Drosophila melanogaster: one gene and its partner. The protein of the gene in region 2 interacts with the protein of the main gene of each other region in a pairwise test. Each region holds a gene or a part of one and is shown on either strand. Other genes may lie near its edges.

Region 1 (6,419 bases), on a different chromosome or scaffold from region 2:
TAGAAAATACAGATGTCCTTCGCTGATTTTGCAAGTGTCAGCGCGACGATGATGGGCCACCCACTCGAGTCGAGTCGAATCGAGTCGAGCTGAGTTGAGTTGATTTAATTCAATTCATGGACAGACAATGATTGCGTCAATTGCCGCATGTTTATCATTGTGACAGCCCAAACTTGGCATTGTCCTGGCCAAAATCTTGGCACACAAACCCGACCGCAATCCCAATAGGAATAGGATGGCGGCCAAGAAGCCGCGGCGGAAATTGTGGAAATCGTATGTAAGCGTATTAGTTTGGCGATTGTGCGAGTGTCATGCTGGCAAACCCTTTCTCTGCCATTGAAATATTCCCAAATGCTGTTGCTTTAGCCAAAAAAAAAAAAACATATAATATGGGGGTCATTATGATCATGCATATGGTTGCAAATTGGGTCTCATTTTCATGGCAGATCGGAAAAATGTAGATAAGGACACAACGCGGGTCAAGGATGTGTGTTTTCTAAACGAATTATGGAGATTGAAGTTTTCAATTACAAAGTAAAATAAGTGCACTGAACTTCAAATATGGAGTATATAATTTAATATTTCGTCAAGTTTTAGGCTTGTCTTCAATCACAAGACTGATTTCTTGCGTTTAACATAAGCAACATAACCGTAGTTTTGTTTCATTTGTAATATAATTATTTTACCTCTTTATAAAGGTTCGTACATTTTAGGTTATTATTTTCTAAATGACATCAAGATACCTGAGAATTTCACACACTTCCTGTCTTGGTTGACCATTTGGCCAATTAGGGGTATCCTTTTAAGTCGGTAAGAGGTATATGGTACACCACCCAGGGGTGCGATTCAGAGCAGGTTTTCAATTACACATTATGACTGCTGCACGGTCTGGCTGGAAACTGCAGTAAAATTTCAACTACCCCGAAAACTCGCACACATTCCGAAGAAATTGGATTTGCGACTGGTTGCCTTTCTTTCTTCTTGGGCATTTTCCGCTTGCATTTGGCTCGTTTTTTATGGCCTGCCCCCTCCCCAATCGTCTCCCATTCGAAGTTCCCGGCCCGTTGACTTTTATGAACTTATAAACAAGGGAAACGGGGCACAACCCTTTCGGCCTGTTGCTGCCACAGCTACTTCCAGTGCTTATTATGTGGATTATTAGAGGGATTTACCCGATGCCATGTACAAATTCATGTGCTCCAACTCGGATTTCGGATTCCGGCTGCTGGCTGTCGGATGCCGGGTTGCTTCCTCTGCTACCTCACTTGGTCCTGGTGGCATCAATGACATAAATAAAAAGATTTCCAAAGGATTTGCCTGCGGGACACCGCACCCAAACACCCGAAAAGAAAAGCGAAGGGAAAACACCCCGACATTCCAGCCAAGTTTTCCCAGTCCAATGAAAATCATGAAGGTGTGTGGGTGTGATTTACTCGCATGCCAAGAGCTAAGAGCTCTGCCAAGTCGGTGTTGATCTGGGCATTGCCATAAATTGATAATAGAAATATATACCTATTGTACATATACATATATATGGACATACTGGTTGAAATTTGACTCAACTGGCCACTGATAAGCCACTTTGTTGCCCGGCGTAAACAATGACGTGTGCTGGACTTTCACTTCCAGTGGCCTGTTTGGCTAGCAGTTGTTGAATCACGGATTTGCCTGCATACCCTGTAATTTAGGTTAGGTTATCTAATATTGCTCATGAAGCAATTTATACTCTTACCATTTTAAATTAAATTAATATTTTCCAATTTTTGTTGAATTGAATACTTATAGTAGTCTCCAAAATTCTACCTATATATTTACGAATGAATAATACATTTTATAGTTTTGAATATCAGCGTATAGTCTAATATTCCTATGTCACTTTCTTACAGGGTAGCGAAACTAATAGAATTACTTATCAGCCAGAGATGTTCACGTTTAACAGATTAGTAAACTTCTCGAGTGACTTCTTCTTCCTCTTCAAAATGCCTTAAATCACACGTTTAACCCAATTAAATAATGTCAATTAGCATTGAAGCGTGTCAAAGGATTAGAAACCATTAAAATAGTATTTATTCAAAATGTCAATAAATGGTTTAATTTCTCGAGCACAATAAATTCGAAAGTAATCTAATGATTCTACTCTGTCTATTGCTACCACATTGCGATGTCAATCAAAGCATTTTGGCATTGATAGATGGCTAATTAATGTAGCCATAACATAACATGTGCTTGCTGCTCCTGCTATCTAAGGAGCATCAGGTGGCTTTGGCATTCCGCAGGACCCTCAGGCGCGAGTACACAATGTCCCAGTCAACGAAGGCGCCCAGAATGTGGCGCACATTGCGGTCCGTGTCGTCGTACCCGGTACGTCCGTGGACCAGGCGCAAATTGTCGAACGTGAGCACGTCGCCGGGCGTGGTCTTGAATCTGCAGGAGTGCTCGTGGGCCAGGCCCACAAAGGTGGCCATCGCCTCGTACCACGGACGCACCTGCTCCACCGGCACGCTAAAGTGGCTGTCGCGCTGCGGAATGCTGTGGTTGATGCGCACACACCGGCCCTCCGCGTCCAAGCTGCAAGAGATCGAAATGTTAGCCAAGTTCTGCTGGGGCAACTATGCATTTCCCCTCGTCAACAAATTGTTACCTCCACCTAAAAATATCTGAAATATTTTTCAAGATAACTGAAACATTTCAAGTTGCGAGAAAAATAGATTTTAAAAGTGCAGAATTTGCTTGAAAAATATGAACTCAAAATAAGCATTTTTATAGTCTGACTGCACCTAAATGTATTCTTAAGTCGCCCTAAGCAATCAAAGGAACTCCATCAATATAAATCTCCTTTACTGGACTCCCAATCTAAATCTACTCACTTGATGACCGGTGCCCTCCAGATATTGTGAAACTGCAGATCGCCGTCGCTTCCGATGTCCGCCCAGTCCACGGGAGTCTGGCAAAGAACCCGGAACTGCTCCGGATAGCGTTCCCTCATCACCTCCGCCACATAGAAGGCATCGGCCAGCAGATTGACACCCCCGGGCGACGCGGACTGCTCCAAGGTGTGCAACATGGTCACTCCGGGCAGGTACTCAAAGTAGGGCATATCCGTGTGTAGCGGGAGTGGTGCGGCCAAGTAGGCGTAGTTGCTGCCTCCAGGCTGAGCCCGAACACTGAACTCCTCTCCATAGGTGGTGCGCCTCATGAAGCCCACTCGGTTGGACAATCTCCGAAGGACGTCCATATCGAGAGGGGCTTCCTTGACCATGGCCACTCCGTAAACTGCCAGATGCTGGAGCCATTGCTGCAACGCCGAATCGCAATCGAGCAGTTCTTGGTAGTAGAACACCTGACGGATTTTCTCAAAGTCCAGACCGCTCCACAACTTCTGCTCCGGGCGGTAAAAGTCACGCAGGTAACGCTGGCGATTCGCGTATGAGAAGTCCCGCTCCCTCAGCCAACTGAACGGATACTGGGAGGTATGTCCATCGGACCACTCTATACACAGGACCCTCTGGTCCACGTCCACGCTCTGCCGCAGGACCCGCACACTGGTGTCCAGATGGTTCCACAGCTGGGGCAATCTACTCAGTGTCTGTGGCAGATAGCACTCCTCGCAGCGGCAATTATCGCGCAGCCAAATGTCTGGAAACTGCATGTCCCGACGATCAGGATCGGGAACCTGAACCAGGCGCGACTGATCCTGCTCCTTTGGCAGAGCCAACTTAAGCGGTTGGCTGGGCAAATCTCGGCGGTCCGCTTGGAACATCTTGAGCAACCTACCACTATGTCTTCCGATTGCGGAATGATGTGCCTGATTAGGGCGGTGAGCAAGAAGCCCACGCTCAGGGGTACGTGGCCAAATTGATGGACCAGATTAAATAACGCGTGATGTTTACATAGCTACACTTAAAAAAAGGAAGTACGTACTATATTTTTCTAAGTTTTTAAGCTGTTTGCTTATATTTGCTGTTTGATATTTAAGAATTAGCTGAGAAATGACAAGAAGCCTTGCGTAATATGTTCGAATATCATATTATCACCTGATCCAATTTATTATACTATTATATATGTTATCCCTTAGATGATATACTTTAGATATATTGTATGTAGACATACTGTTTAGAATATATTTTCCTAAATACATACTAATTTATGTGAATACTTTGATATTTGTAACTTATTGCATAAATATAGATATCTAGAAACTCGCTTTTTTTTTCTTTAAGTGTTCGACCATCCAAGTCTAACCCTTATCAATCCTTTGTGAGCAGTGCAGATTGCTGTCGCAGCGTTTTTTTTTTTCTTGTTTTTAGCTGGGCTCCCCTTGCTTAAAGCCCCCGCCCGCCACTGGAGCTGTAAAATTAAAAATGCAAAATTAATTTCTGCATAAAACTGCTAACGCCAGCGATTTTGCATAATTGTTTGCCAGCTGCAGTCGAGCTGGAAAGGGGCGTGGCTGTGGAAAAGCGCGCCATCTTCGACAGCCCTTTCATGGCGCCTCCCCCCATGCCACGGCGACGCCCCTGGTCGCGGGAAGTGGCGTCAATCATTGTTAGGCGCATTGATCACTTCATTCACATGCTCACATGCCACACCCACATCGATTGTTTCACTCAAACCAGTGGTGATTGCAATGCGAACATCCTGCTCGACAGCGTTGGAAAATCATAAACAATAACCATTTCATGCCGGGGAAAACAACAACGAGCAGAGAATCGGCCGGCAACAAGCATATCTGGTAACCAGTATATATGGCGCGATTTTTAATTATCACTTTCGCATTCGCATTCGCATTCGCATTTTGTATTCGAGTGTATTGTCTGGCGCGAATACGACTCGTATCTATCCATCTACGGCGGCTCTATAACCGCCATTTCCACCATTTCCACTTCCATTTGCATTTCTCCCCGAAACAAAGAATGCGAGTGGAACAATCCATCGAATGCTCAGCTTTTAGCTGAGATTCTTCTCAGCGAGTAAATGTATCTTAAATGTAAGATATAAGGTATCGCAGATACATTGCCAACAAGTTATGAGAAGATATAGCTTGAATAAAGGTAGAACGTTTCAATGGATTGGTTTTAATGTATATTTTTAAGAAAGTATTGTAAAAAATTATATATCTTGTTGTGATAACTTTATTATATTAGTACTAGGCCTACAGCAGATTCTAAGAAACTTGAAGAGCATTAGAAATGCGGTATGCAGCACGATGCAGCGTCTACATTTCATGCATTGTTTGGAAGGAGTCCCAGTTTCCCCCAGCAGAACTTTATTGTTTTCAATTAAAAACACTCACAGCCCATTCAGCTAACGAATCCATTCGCTCGGCAGTTTTCATTGCGAGTATTCCCGTATTCATAGGCTCGAAGGCAGCGGCAGCGAAAGCCGGCGACATGACACAATTGCAGATGCAAGTGAAATGTAATGAGGTGTAATGAAAATGCATTCAAGTGACAGTTTTTCCCCATTCGCCGCGCAGCTCCATTTCGCCAGCCCACCTGCACTTAACAATAATCAGGCACAACAATAGTGACAAATATCGATGAAATGAGCGATGAGACAGAGTAATGAATTTCTCGGAGAAAAAAAAAAGGTAGATTCACTCAAAGTGTTTATTTTGAAAAGCAGCGATCCGAATAAGTCTGTTTTTATTTGTTATTTTTTAATAACATTTCAAAACAGGCAAATCCGTGTTATCGGTTTACTTCGCAACCGATCAAAACATACCGCAAATTATGCATAAACATCGAGTACAACACTTACGAAAATTAAACAAAACCCGCAGCGACCGCAACATATCCAGCGAAACATGGCCGAAAACCGAAATTGGTTTATTTATTTCGCTGGCCATCAAATTGCAAATAAATCAGTTCCAAGGCTTAAATGCCTGAAATATTCATAAAGCCAGAAAAAGCGGATGTGAACAGGTGAGTGAACCCCGTGGCTGATGATGAGTCGTGGTGGTGTGGATTCGAGTTAACAATACGCCCGTCTAACGGTTTGGCACAATGGCCAACGCTATGGGCCTAATTAGCCTCGTGGGCGGCGAGGATTTTGGATTTCGGATTTTCGGCTATCCATGACAATGCCAGCGGAACGCATAATTAGGCATAAAGCCCAGGTCCGACTCTACTCTTGAGAATGGGCCCCAAATTGGACTTGGCCGTATTGTGTTTCCATCCGGCTGAAGAAATCCTTAGCCCTCGGAAAAAATCACTATGCTTGCTGGCAAAGTGCAGTAAGTAGCTGCGGCCACTGTGGGACACATAAATAAATGTGCCCACGAAATCCGTAAATATGATTAAGTGCCAAATTTATTTACAGCTCCCTGGTTGCCTTTAAAAAAAAGGCAGCCAAAACGAAATAGCAACAAAAAATGAAAATGCCCAACCCCGTGGGCTGGCAGACGCAAGGTGGAGCCG
Region 2 (10,412 bases):
AATTCTCTGGCGCTGCGAGCACCGCCCTATGCACACTAAACTCAGCCAAAAATGATTAAGAATTTCCTTGGGCATAGTCATACGCGGCGCACACAGACATGGTTTAGATATAGCTTTGCACATGTGTTAGCATTAGGGCGTCCATGGGAATCTATACGACAACCTCGAACTGATAGCACTGCCATTTGGTGCGATTACCACTATTTCGAAATGCGAGAGCAACCAACGAATCGTATTGACCACTAACTTGGCGAACTACGACCAGGAAAACACAGCCACCGAGAATCCACTAAAATCGTAACCGTCACCAGATCTTCCAGCGACTATATGGCCACATATGTACCTGCAAAATGTTCATATCTCTAGCTCCCCTTGTACAAACATATTCGGAATGCGAGTGGAGATAACATTATCAATGAAAAACGGGCTTCACAATCAAAACTTTGTCCATTGCCTCGGCAATGCAAATGGTAACGACGCCATCAACTAGATAACAATGTGGTGGGCGGCAGTGATCGTGGGCGTGGCAGTGGGTATGGCCGAACCAACAGGTGCCCTACGTACACATATGTGGATCGGGATTGAAGTACATTTACTGACTCGCCGCCCTACTTTATGGTATCAAAAGTGGGGCAACGGCTAAACTGTGATAAAAACGGGCTATATACTTTCGTATATATTTTTAAACAATATCCGATGTAGGAAAAATATTAAATAAATCCTTTATTAATTAGATGTTTGTATCGTGTAGCTGTATTGAAACCCAGCATTTTCGTAAACGAACCATTTTTCCAAGTGTAGTTGCACTTGCTCTCAATAAGTCGCCGAGATTATGATAAAAATGTTATCAGCCTAAAATGTCGTACTTCCCAGTTGATTGCGAGTGTTAGCATACGATTTCAAGGTTCTCCATTTGGGAAGTTGAGATACTTTCCTACCTCTAAGGTGGTGGTCAGAAATCAAATCTATTGTTCAAACGTTTAACAAAAATTTGTTTATCTAACAAAAAAAAAAAAAATTGTATACATGAGGAAATAAATAAATTAGGGGTATAAAAACTATAGCCTAATCGACGATTACAAGTATGTGGACTCAAACTTCTCGCGCATCTTAAGTTTCCGTTGTTTTCCGGGAAAAATGCTGAAACTCTTTATGTTGAGCGCCCTCTGGAGCATTCGGATGGTATAGTCGGGTACCAGGCAGGCCACACAGGTCACTATGATCCACAGCCAGACTGGCAGTGAGGCCAACAGATTGTTGTAGGCCCAGTAGATGTCGGTGTCGTAGTCCCTGCAAATAATACATATACATATTAGTTTAAACCTTAAATGGATACATTCGTAGCCATGAACTCACAGATTGATAACGTTGTAGATAACCGTTGTGACTACAAAGCCCAAAATGGAAATGATAATGGTGAATATATACCAAAAGGACAGATACATTGACTCGAGCCAGAGCTTAAGGTTCACGACCACCACCACCGTCCACATGAGGAGGGTGCCGAAGCAGGAGAAGGCCACCGTCTGTCCGTAGTTCAGGAGAACGTTGTTGTAGTAGAAGAAGCAGAAGGCGAAGTAGAATATGATGACACTGTGGTAGATCGCAAATAGGACCCACATCAGGAAGTACGGCCAGTGGAGCTGCTTGTTGTCCGTGTTCTTCTTGTAAAGCTGTGGCGTTCTGTTCAAGTTGCATTTTTAGTAACATCAACATTATACATATAAACGATTGAACCCACTGTTACCTCATCAACTTCTCCTCGGTGTATGGCTTCTCGGAGATAGCTATGAACAAAATGGGCAGCGAGGTGTATATCACATTGTACAAGGTAAGGAATAGCGAATCGTAGACGGAGGATGAGGAGAACAGCGTGTGAAACTGGAACAGGAACATGATGCCCATAAAGACGATGTTCTTGTAGAAGAAGTACAGCACCAGCAGGGACAGTCGGACACTGTGATAGTGTCCATGGACGAGAAGCAATCTCTTGAGCATGCAAAACTTGGCGAAGGCAAAATCGGCGCATCGTGCCGCCTGCCTGCCCTCGCGTCCCATGATGCCGATGCCCACGTGAGCCTCCTGGATCATCGACACATCATTGGCGCCATCGCCAATGGAGGCCGTGTTGTAGTTCTCATTGGATGACTTGATCAATGACACCACTTCGCTTTTCTGCAGCGGACTAAGGCGGCAGCACAGAACGGCCGTACACTTGACAGCCACATCCCGGAACTCCGAGCTGGCCTCTGCCAGGGCCACGCCCAAGCTCTTGCCGTCAATGAGAAGAGCGCACTCCTGGCCAATACCGAAGATGATCTCACGATCAAGTGCGTTCAGATGCAGGAGCATCTCCTCTCTATTCTTGCACTCCATAATGAAGTACTTCTTGGCATCGGGTGGAATGTGTCCGCAGGACAGGGCTATATTCAGGGCTGTCTCCACCTTATCGCCCGTTAGCACCCAGATTTTAATGCCAGCCGCCTGCAGAGATACCAACGTATCGGCCACGTCGTCCTGCAGGGCATCCTCCACAGCTGTTGCACCGAGCAAATCAAGATCTGTGCAAAGAACAGAAATGCATAAGTTGTTGGCGCCCAACGTGGGGCACCATGGACTTATGTGGAATGTCACTAGTACTCACTGCTTTCAATTTTAGCATAACACTCCTCGCTGAGCTGCTTTCGATTCTCAAGTGAGCTGTTCGCCTGTGCCAGCTCCACAAGGAAGTCCTGGTACTCCTCCTCGCTAATTAGCCTCCTGGCAATAGCCAATGTACGTAATCCTAGTCGTGCGAAATCACTTATATGAGCGTCCGTCTTTGTGACCAGCTCGGCTGAACTGTTGGCGCACAGTGGAAAGACATAGCTCTCGGCACCCTTTGTGTAGATCCACTTCTTGCCATCCGTATCCCGGACAATCACGCTCATGCGCTTGCGATCCGACGTAAACTCCAGGACATGGAGGCGCTGGAAGGTCTCTTCCCTGGGCTTGGCGAACGGTCGCTTGTAGTCCATGTGGGGCGGGACGATGCGCACGCGCAGCGTTTCGTCATCGTCTCCGGTGTAGACCATGCCCAAATTGGCGCACGCCTCCACCAATGCCTTCTCATCCGGACTGGAGGCCTGATAGTCCAAGGTGCTGTTGAAAGAGATGTGAAATTGAGATGCTTCTTCAAATTTTGGATTTTCTTGAATCCGCTTACAATATAAAGTCCCGGATTTCGTTCTTTCGGCGCTGTGATTCAGCCCGCACCAGAATGGTGGGCTGTCGGGTGAAGGTGGGCGCGGCATAGGATTCCCGAGAAGTGGTGCTCGGCGATCGAAAGAGCACACCTGCGGGCGGGGTGCTGGCCGTAACCGGATTTGTGAGGTAGGCATTGGGCGCGCCATATGAGTGCGCCCTTCGGTGACCCGGCGCCTGACCACTGGGCGCTTCCCAGGACTGTTGCAGATCCTTCTCTGAGGTAGACCGTCTGAATTGCAGCGAAATGGGTCGAAAGTTTGTTGTGGGCTCCACTCCGTTCGTGACCGTATTAGGGTCAGTCTGATTGATATTCAGATCGCTGGCGGCACCATTGTTCATCCGATTGGAGCGCGCAAAGTTGGGACTCCTCTTGATAACCACCGGACGCTTGCGACGCTCCACGCCATAGCCGTCGTCGGAAACCAATAAGGGATTAACATCGGACGAAATGATCGTTGAGTTGACCCCATTGGGATGAGCCGACACCGAGTTATCAATGGTGTGGCCCACATTTAGCTCGCTCTGCTGACTAGCATTGTGGCTCTCCTCGGTGATGTCCGAAATGGAGTACATCTCCGGCGGACCCGACTTAATCGCCGTCACTGGCTCCCGTTTGGCAGTGCCCGCATCCGCCTGTTCCAGAGATCCGGAGGCCACCTGAACGGTGTGGCATATGGACAAGGCCTGGAAGAAGACGCGCTGATTGGCCTGCAAGGACAAACGACAGACAGATTTGGGAACGCCACTTAAGCTATAGCGATGGAAAAGACTCACGGAAAACTTATTGATGTCCAGTAGTGCCTTGGTCTCCTCATCCTCCAGCCGCGTCTTTTTAAAGAGGAACTTGTTACCATTTATCGAGCACTGCTGGAAGTTCATCTCGTTCTTGGTCAGCGTGCCCGTCTTATCCGAGAACAGTATATTGATCTGGCCCAGTTCTTCGTTCAGATTGGATGTGTTGACCACGCACGGCTGATCGGTCTCATTCTCGTAAAGCTCAAGGTCCCACTCCATGAACCAACTGCCGATGACGCGCTGCAGCTCGATGGTCACGTAGAGGGAGATGGGTATTAGGTAGTTGAAGAGGATCAGGAACGACAGGTAGTCCTGCAGGAATTGCTTCACACTGTAGCTATCCGTCGCATCCCCCAGATAGGTCAGCTTGGGTATCACAAATAGTTCATTGTACCTGCGGATCAAATACGAGTAGGTTGTATATTAACCCAATTGAAGAATATATATGTATGTAGTCCAAGATGAACTTACCTCTTCAGGAAGTAGAGCAGAGTGACGATGGCGATCAGGGCGACCAGGATGACAATCAAAAAGCGATTGATGTACGTCTCGCTGGAGGCGTTTTTGTTCCTGGTGAGCCGGCTGTTCAGCTGCAGCTTGGAGATCATGCCCGTGTAGACGGCGCAACCGATGACGCATTCCGTGTTCTTCACCCGCGATCCGCGCAGCAGGACATTCTCGGTGGACAGCGGAAGCACCCGACCCTCGCCGCCCTTCAGCTCGATCTTGCCATTGAAGCTGTACAGATCGGTGGTGGGGCTCTCGCACTCGATAATGCCCAGTTTGTGCATCTCCGGCAGGTCGACGGTGGGCAGGTCGCGCGGCACCATCAGCGTCTTCAGGTTGGACTCTCCGTCCAAGTTCGCCGTGGTGATGAAACACTTGCCGTGCGGATCGGTGGATCGCAGCAGCACCAGATCGCACGGCACATCGCAGTCCCGCTCCACGACGATCAGTTCGCCGGGAATCACGTCCTGCGACTTAATTATCGCCTCCTTGCCATCGCGGATGACAGTAACTAAAGTTGTAAAATAAATATTCATTAATTGATATAAATTGAATTGAATTTGTGGCAAGAAAACTTTTCAAATTTCCCAATGAAGAATTCACTTTCGAAAGTTTACTTTCTTTCACCCACCTGGCGAGGAGTTGACCACATTATCGGTTCTATACCGCAGGATATCTTCATATCCTTGCTTAGCGGCGGTCACAGCAATTACAAATACCAGTGGTAAAAGTGAGGTCATCGGGGACACTGGACTATCTGCGAATAGATTAAAGATAAATAAATATTTATTAAGAATTATATATTATTATGAAAATGTTGTTATATTTCCATATTTACCAATTAAAAGTGATATAATTGTCATCACCAGGAAGTAGAAATTCGCAATCCGGCGAAATTGCTCCAGAAGATTTTGTGGCAGGAATGTGATAAGTGTATATTTGGTGGACTTGATGCGATTCTGGCCCTTTGGTCTTTTCTTTTTGATATCCTGGGGGCCACCGATTTGTATTTGCAGCCAATCATTTATTGTACTAACTCTGGAGCCCTGGAAGATAAAATAAATGACAAGGCCATCGGAATACGTTGATTGAACAACAAATGGTAGACATCTAGTGATAAGAACTCGAATTATCAGCGTATTTTTTTGTTTGGCTTATGAATCAGCGTCCTTTTTTGGTCACTGTCTATTGGCATTGTTTTTTAAAGTCCGCCAAATGTTTACTATTAAGATTAATTAACTTTTTTTCGGCAGAAGAATGTCCATCAAGTTGTTTATATGGCAAGTAATAGCTAAAATGATCGATAGAAAAGCGCATAACTAAGCAAATTTTCTATTAAAGTGTAGTTTGAAAAGATTCACCTAATATTCAATTTTTCAGAGATAAACTTCACCAACAAAAGTGAAAAAATAACAGCATAAATATGTATTAAACTTGGTGGTTGGTAAGTAGCTTGCGCAATCGCTTTGCAACCTAAACAAATATCACGCATACGCCACATAAGCCAGATGTAATCTTATACCAAAGAATTCTAACTGCTGACTTTCTTCAAATAGTGAAAAATAGGCACTACCTGTGTACTAAAAATCGTTTACCAAAATCCCAAGCCCAACACACACCTTATGCCAATTCCATAAAAATGCGTCTTTCAGATGAAAGGACTCCTGATCTGCCCACGGTGTCTGGCGATGGGCTCCCAGGCGATCTATGCGTCGAAATCCGCTCAGATGGTCATGGCCAAAGAAATTCATTGTTCATCATTCCAGAATTGGCGCATTTGGTAGCGGTGTGACCACGGACGCGCCCGATCATCGCTCAGAAAGCTTTATCCTCAGACTCAAGCCGGTAGTTGATTTTTCCGGACAATGGAAAACAGTTTTCCTTTTCTTTTTATTTTTTTTATTTTTATGTACGACAATTCTCGTGTTGTGGGGCAATCACATTTTCAAACACCTGCTTGTGTTTATGCGGTCACTCGTTATTTGGCTATTGTTAATTATTGTTTATTCATCGACCGAATGGTCGCACATACATACATACATACATACATATGTACATAGGTCTTGTATGCACAATGGACCGGACCTTTGTAAAGTACGTTTTTATGAATGTTTTTTGATAGTCCAGCTATCTAACTATTAAACGAATGTTTGAAACGATGTGCTAATGGAGTTTAATCACTATTACAGCGTGGCCAATAATTTTAAGCACTCGAATACGGTCCACCCTAATGCACATACAACCATTTGTATATTTATCGACTTTTTCTCAGCACACTTAAGTGTATAACCTTAAAACGATGTTAAGTGGGCAATTTTAACACTTCAATTGAACAGTTCTATGGTGCACATTGGAATCCACATAGGCACAACGATTTTTTTTATAGATTTGTACTATATATCAGTGCGTATTTGCATATGAATTTACATATGTAGATAATATCCAAATGTATTTCACACACCGCAATATCTAGTCTATATCACATCATTCAATAATATCCTTCCGGGATACATCTATGCGTAGCCTAATATCTAATGGATCGCGAGAGAGCCGCGTGATGTGCGCCAGTGCAAAGCCGTTCTCACACTGAGAATTCGATCTGCATTTCTATGGCAATTCGGATGCCATACCTATACCCATGCCCGTACCCATGCCCGTACCCATACCCGTATCCATACCCATTCCCATTCCCATTCACAGCTTCAAAAATCGGTCGTACGGCCGCAGCTTCACATTCAGCTTCGGGCATCCAATAAAAAGCTCAAAAACTTATTGACGTCGCCAGTTCAAGTTTGCGATGTACACCGCGGCGACACATGAAGAAATTCAGACATTCGGCAACTAATAGGTTCAAAGTGCATAGTTAATTTGGCGTATTGTCAATTCGATGACGTCCCCCACTCAAATCAAATCTCATAAAATTCAATTGCTTAAGAACTTGCACTGACTTTCTCATTAAAAAGCTTTCACTCAACATATGTTTTTTTGCAAAAGGAAGTTCAGTTTTGAAAGCAATTGTTTATCTTTAAAGCAAAAAAAAAAGAAAAGAATTCTATTTAAAAGTTCCATGCTAATAGATTACAAAATTAGTAAATGAAGTACTTTAGTACTGATCAATTTCTCGGAGCCACAATGAATCTTTAATTCTATTTTAAAACGACGCCAATTTTAATTTATAAACATTTCACGTTCACATATGCTTATGCTTAATAATAGCAGTTTTCTATTAAACATAGCCAAACTGTTCATGAAAACTCTCTTGGGCACTTTTCAGAGATTTGCATTTGAAAAACATTAGCTTTACCATAAATTGTTTAAATATTATAACAGCGCTAAATAAAGACTGACTCACACGTTGTCACATGTAAATGTCGATCAGTCAACTTAGGAAAAGAAAACCAAAAAAAAAACCCAAATATTTTGAAAAACCCAACCATTGGTGGAGATTAAAAACCAATTGGAAAAACTCGGGATTTCCAAGCCAGCCAAAAGAATCGTGCGATGGAGATCCAAGATTATAAAGTTGCAATCCACTTTATCTAAGCGACGCTATCTATTTTTCACACTCGCATATCGACAAACGACGTTGCTTTATAGCTGAGGCTTATCTAATATATAGAAATTCACTGATGGATTTGGAGACACACTCACACACGTATGTACATGTACTGAAGAAAACCTTATGTTCACTGTTTTTTTTTTGCTGTTGATATTACACAACATCGAGCTGTGGACTCACCCTTTTCTGAAACAATCTCTCGAAGAACTTGCCCATGATGATCCCTTGACTTTATCCACTGCGCTGGGGCTTCAATCCTCACGAGGTTCATTAACAATTGTTGAGAGGTATTGGGGACAATGTGGCACCGACGCGAAACAATAGCATAACTGACTAAAACTGACCGATTTTGGTATCTCTCTAAAATACTTCGTTACCACGAATTCGTCGTATTGCTTATCGGTAATAACAGTTTTTTTTTTTTCGTCTTTACTTTTTTTTTTTTGTTTTTTTTTTTGAAACCAATAGCCGACTAGCCAGGTAATCTCTTCGCTAGATTCCGATGAGTAAGTTATTTCCGATCAATTTCCAATTGCCGAAGCTCGCACACTCTCGTTCAGGATAGACCAATCCTCTCCGAGGTGTTTGAAAGTAGTGTTCCATCGAGTTAACATGATTGTTGCACTCGGTGCGTTGTTATTGTTATAATGGTACGCAACACGCTATTATTGGCTATCAGATGATAGATGTTTAGGGAGTGCAATGCATTCGAGTCTTTTGCTTTCAGTTAACAGCGAACAACGTGCACGTGCTCATGAGAGCCACCGTCTGCCAAGACGTACTTGCTCAACTGATTAACTGAGATCCGTGCAAGAGCACCGGGTCCATAGTCCCTCCCATATCCTCACCCAGTGTACATTCTCTTCTTGGAGCAGCCAGTATTGAAGCTTTCCGGAGCAGCGAGACCCACCCATATCTAACCGCCTATATGTAGACTGCCAAAAAACTGATAAGATTATGAGTACGTATATCTAGGTGGCGAGCACATCAGCTGACTAATCGGCACCGTGCCCGGGATACATTTGGAGCGACATTTGGATGGCATGTTTCCCACTTGGGTTGGGTTCACTGTAGTGCAGAGCGTAAGATATATATACGTATATCCATCCAGCCGTTCGTCACCATGATCGTGGTTAAATTCTATCCAAATTCAACATCTTCTCGTCATTTTACGGTCCATAAATTTCGATAAGAGAGATACGGATATCGACGACATCCAGGGGCAGTTCTTTTATCACAAAGCTTTATCACTTTAAAGGCCATATGTAGTGGAGAACGATAGCTTTACACGACCACCTTGTATTTCACAATTTAATTGGCGTATTAAGTCTTAAGTCGTAGGTCTTTGAGATAGTTTTGTAAATTGAATAGTTGGTTTTTTTTTTAAATATTAAAACATAATCTTTTCGCACACACACACACACACACACGATTCTTCAAAACCCATGAAGCTATGCTAATTTGTTGCAGAATGTAAAAATATTCGAATGCCAGAATGTTTTCTTAGTTGAAATATCTGAGCGATGGTCAAACCTACCATTTTTCTGGCGATTAATTTGAGTTTGAAGAGTTGTAGTGCTGAGTCGTTTTGCACCGGAAGTCCTCTGGCCAAACAAACGGGTAAACAAACAGCGAGCTTTGCGGGCGAAATAAAATATATGTATGTACAAGACCGCTTATGGATCACAGATATAATATATATAGACTTTTGTATATATACTATACATATAGATTATTGTACACAGAATCGAAAGGAAAGAGAGACCTTCCACGCGCAAACTGATCTATTGGCAAACTGTCGAAGAATTGTTGATACCGATACCACGAACAAAGTCGCCATTCACATGGGCTAGCCTGGCGGACCTTTCCATGCATGTTCATGTATATTATATATATGTATATATATAAATATATATATGTGTGCATATATACGCCATTATTTATTCCCATAGCCAAACCCATACCGTACCCATATCGCACCCAGGCCGGGGTTTTACCAACATTTAGATACATATTCCTAAATGCGTTCATAGTCAGTGCATTGGCACTCTTTAATAGTTGGTAGTACCATGCTGGGCCATACGATCCTCAGAGCTACTCTCTTAGCTCATTTTTTGTTTATTTTTTAATATAGATTTTGTTTTTTTCGCTCTCGCGAGCGAATAAGCCAGCGGTTTTGTAGAAGAGATAATGTCGATAACAACAATCTTATCGCTCAACATTGAACGCATTGAACGGACTTCACACACGAACACATTACATATCCGTCGGGGCTTACGGACAAGCCTATCTAAAATCGTGCAAC

Evidence for each region.
Region 1: the proteins of CG4301 (region 2) and CG10814 interact in a two-hybrid assay, tested with the Drosophila melanogaster proteins (one large-scale study listed by BioGRID).

Annotation. Positions count from the first base shown.
Region 1 is NT_033778.4:13,373,929-13,380,347, forward strand, and holds CG10814 (uncharacterized protein), read right to left. Parts: upstream 3,804-6,419; 5' UTR 3,761-3,803; coding exon 2,868-3,760; intron 2,569-2,867; coding exon 2,253-2,568; 3' UTR 2,047-2,252; downstream 1-2,046.
Region 2 is NC_004354.4:16,404,965-16,415,376, reverse strand, and holds CG4301 (uncharacterized protein), read right to left. Parts: upstream 7,069-10,412; 5' UTR 6,300-7,068; coding exon 6,168-6,299; intron 5,595-6,167; coding exon 5,387-5,594; intron 5,306-5,386; coding exon 5,180-5,305; intron 5,060-5,179; coding exon 4,513-5,059; intron 4,436-4,512; coding exon 4,021-4,435; coding exon of another isoform or gene 3,955-4,020; coding exon 3,206-3,954; intron 3,142-3,205; coding exon 2,645-3,141; intron 2,562-2,644; coding exon 1,748-2,561; intron 1,684-1,747; coding exon 1,357-1,683; intron 1,291-1,356; coding exon 1,077-1,290; 3' UTR 974-1,076; downstream 1-973.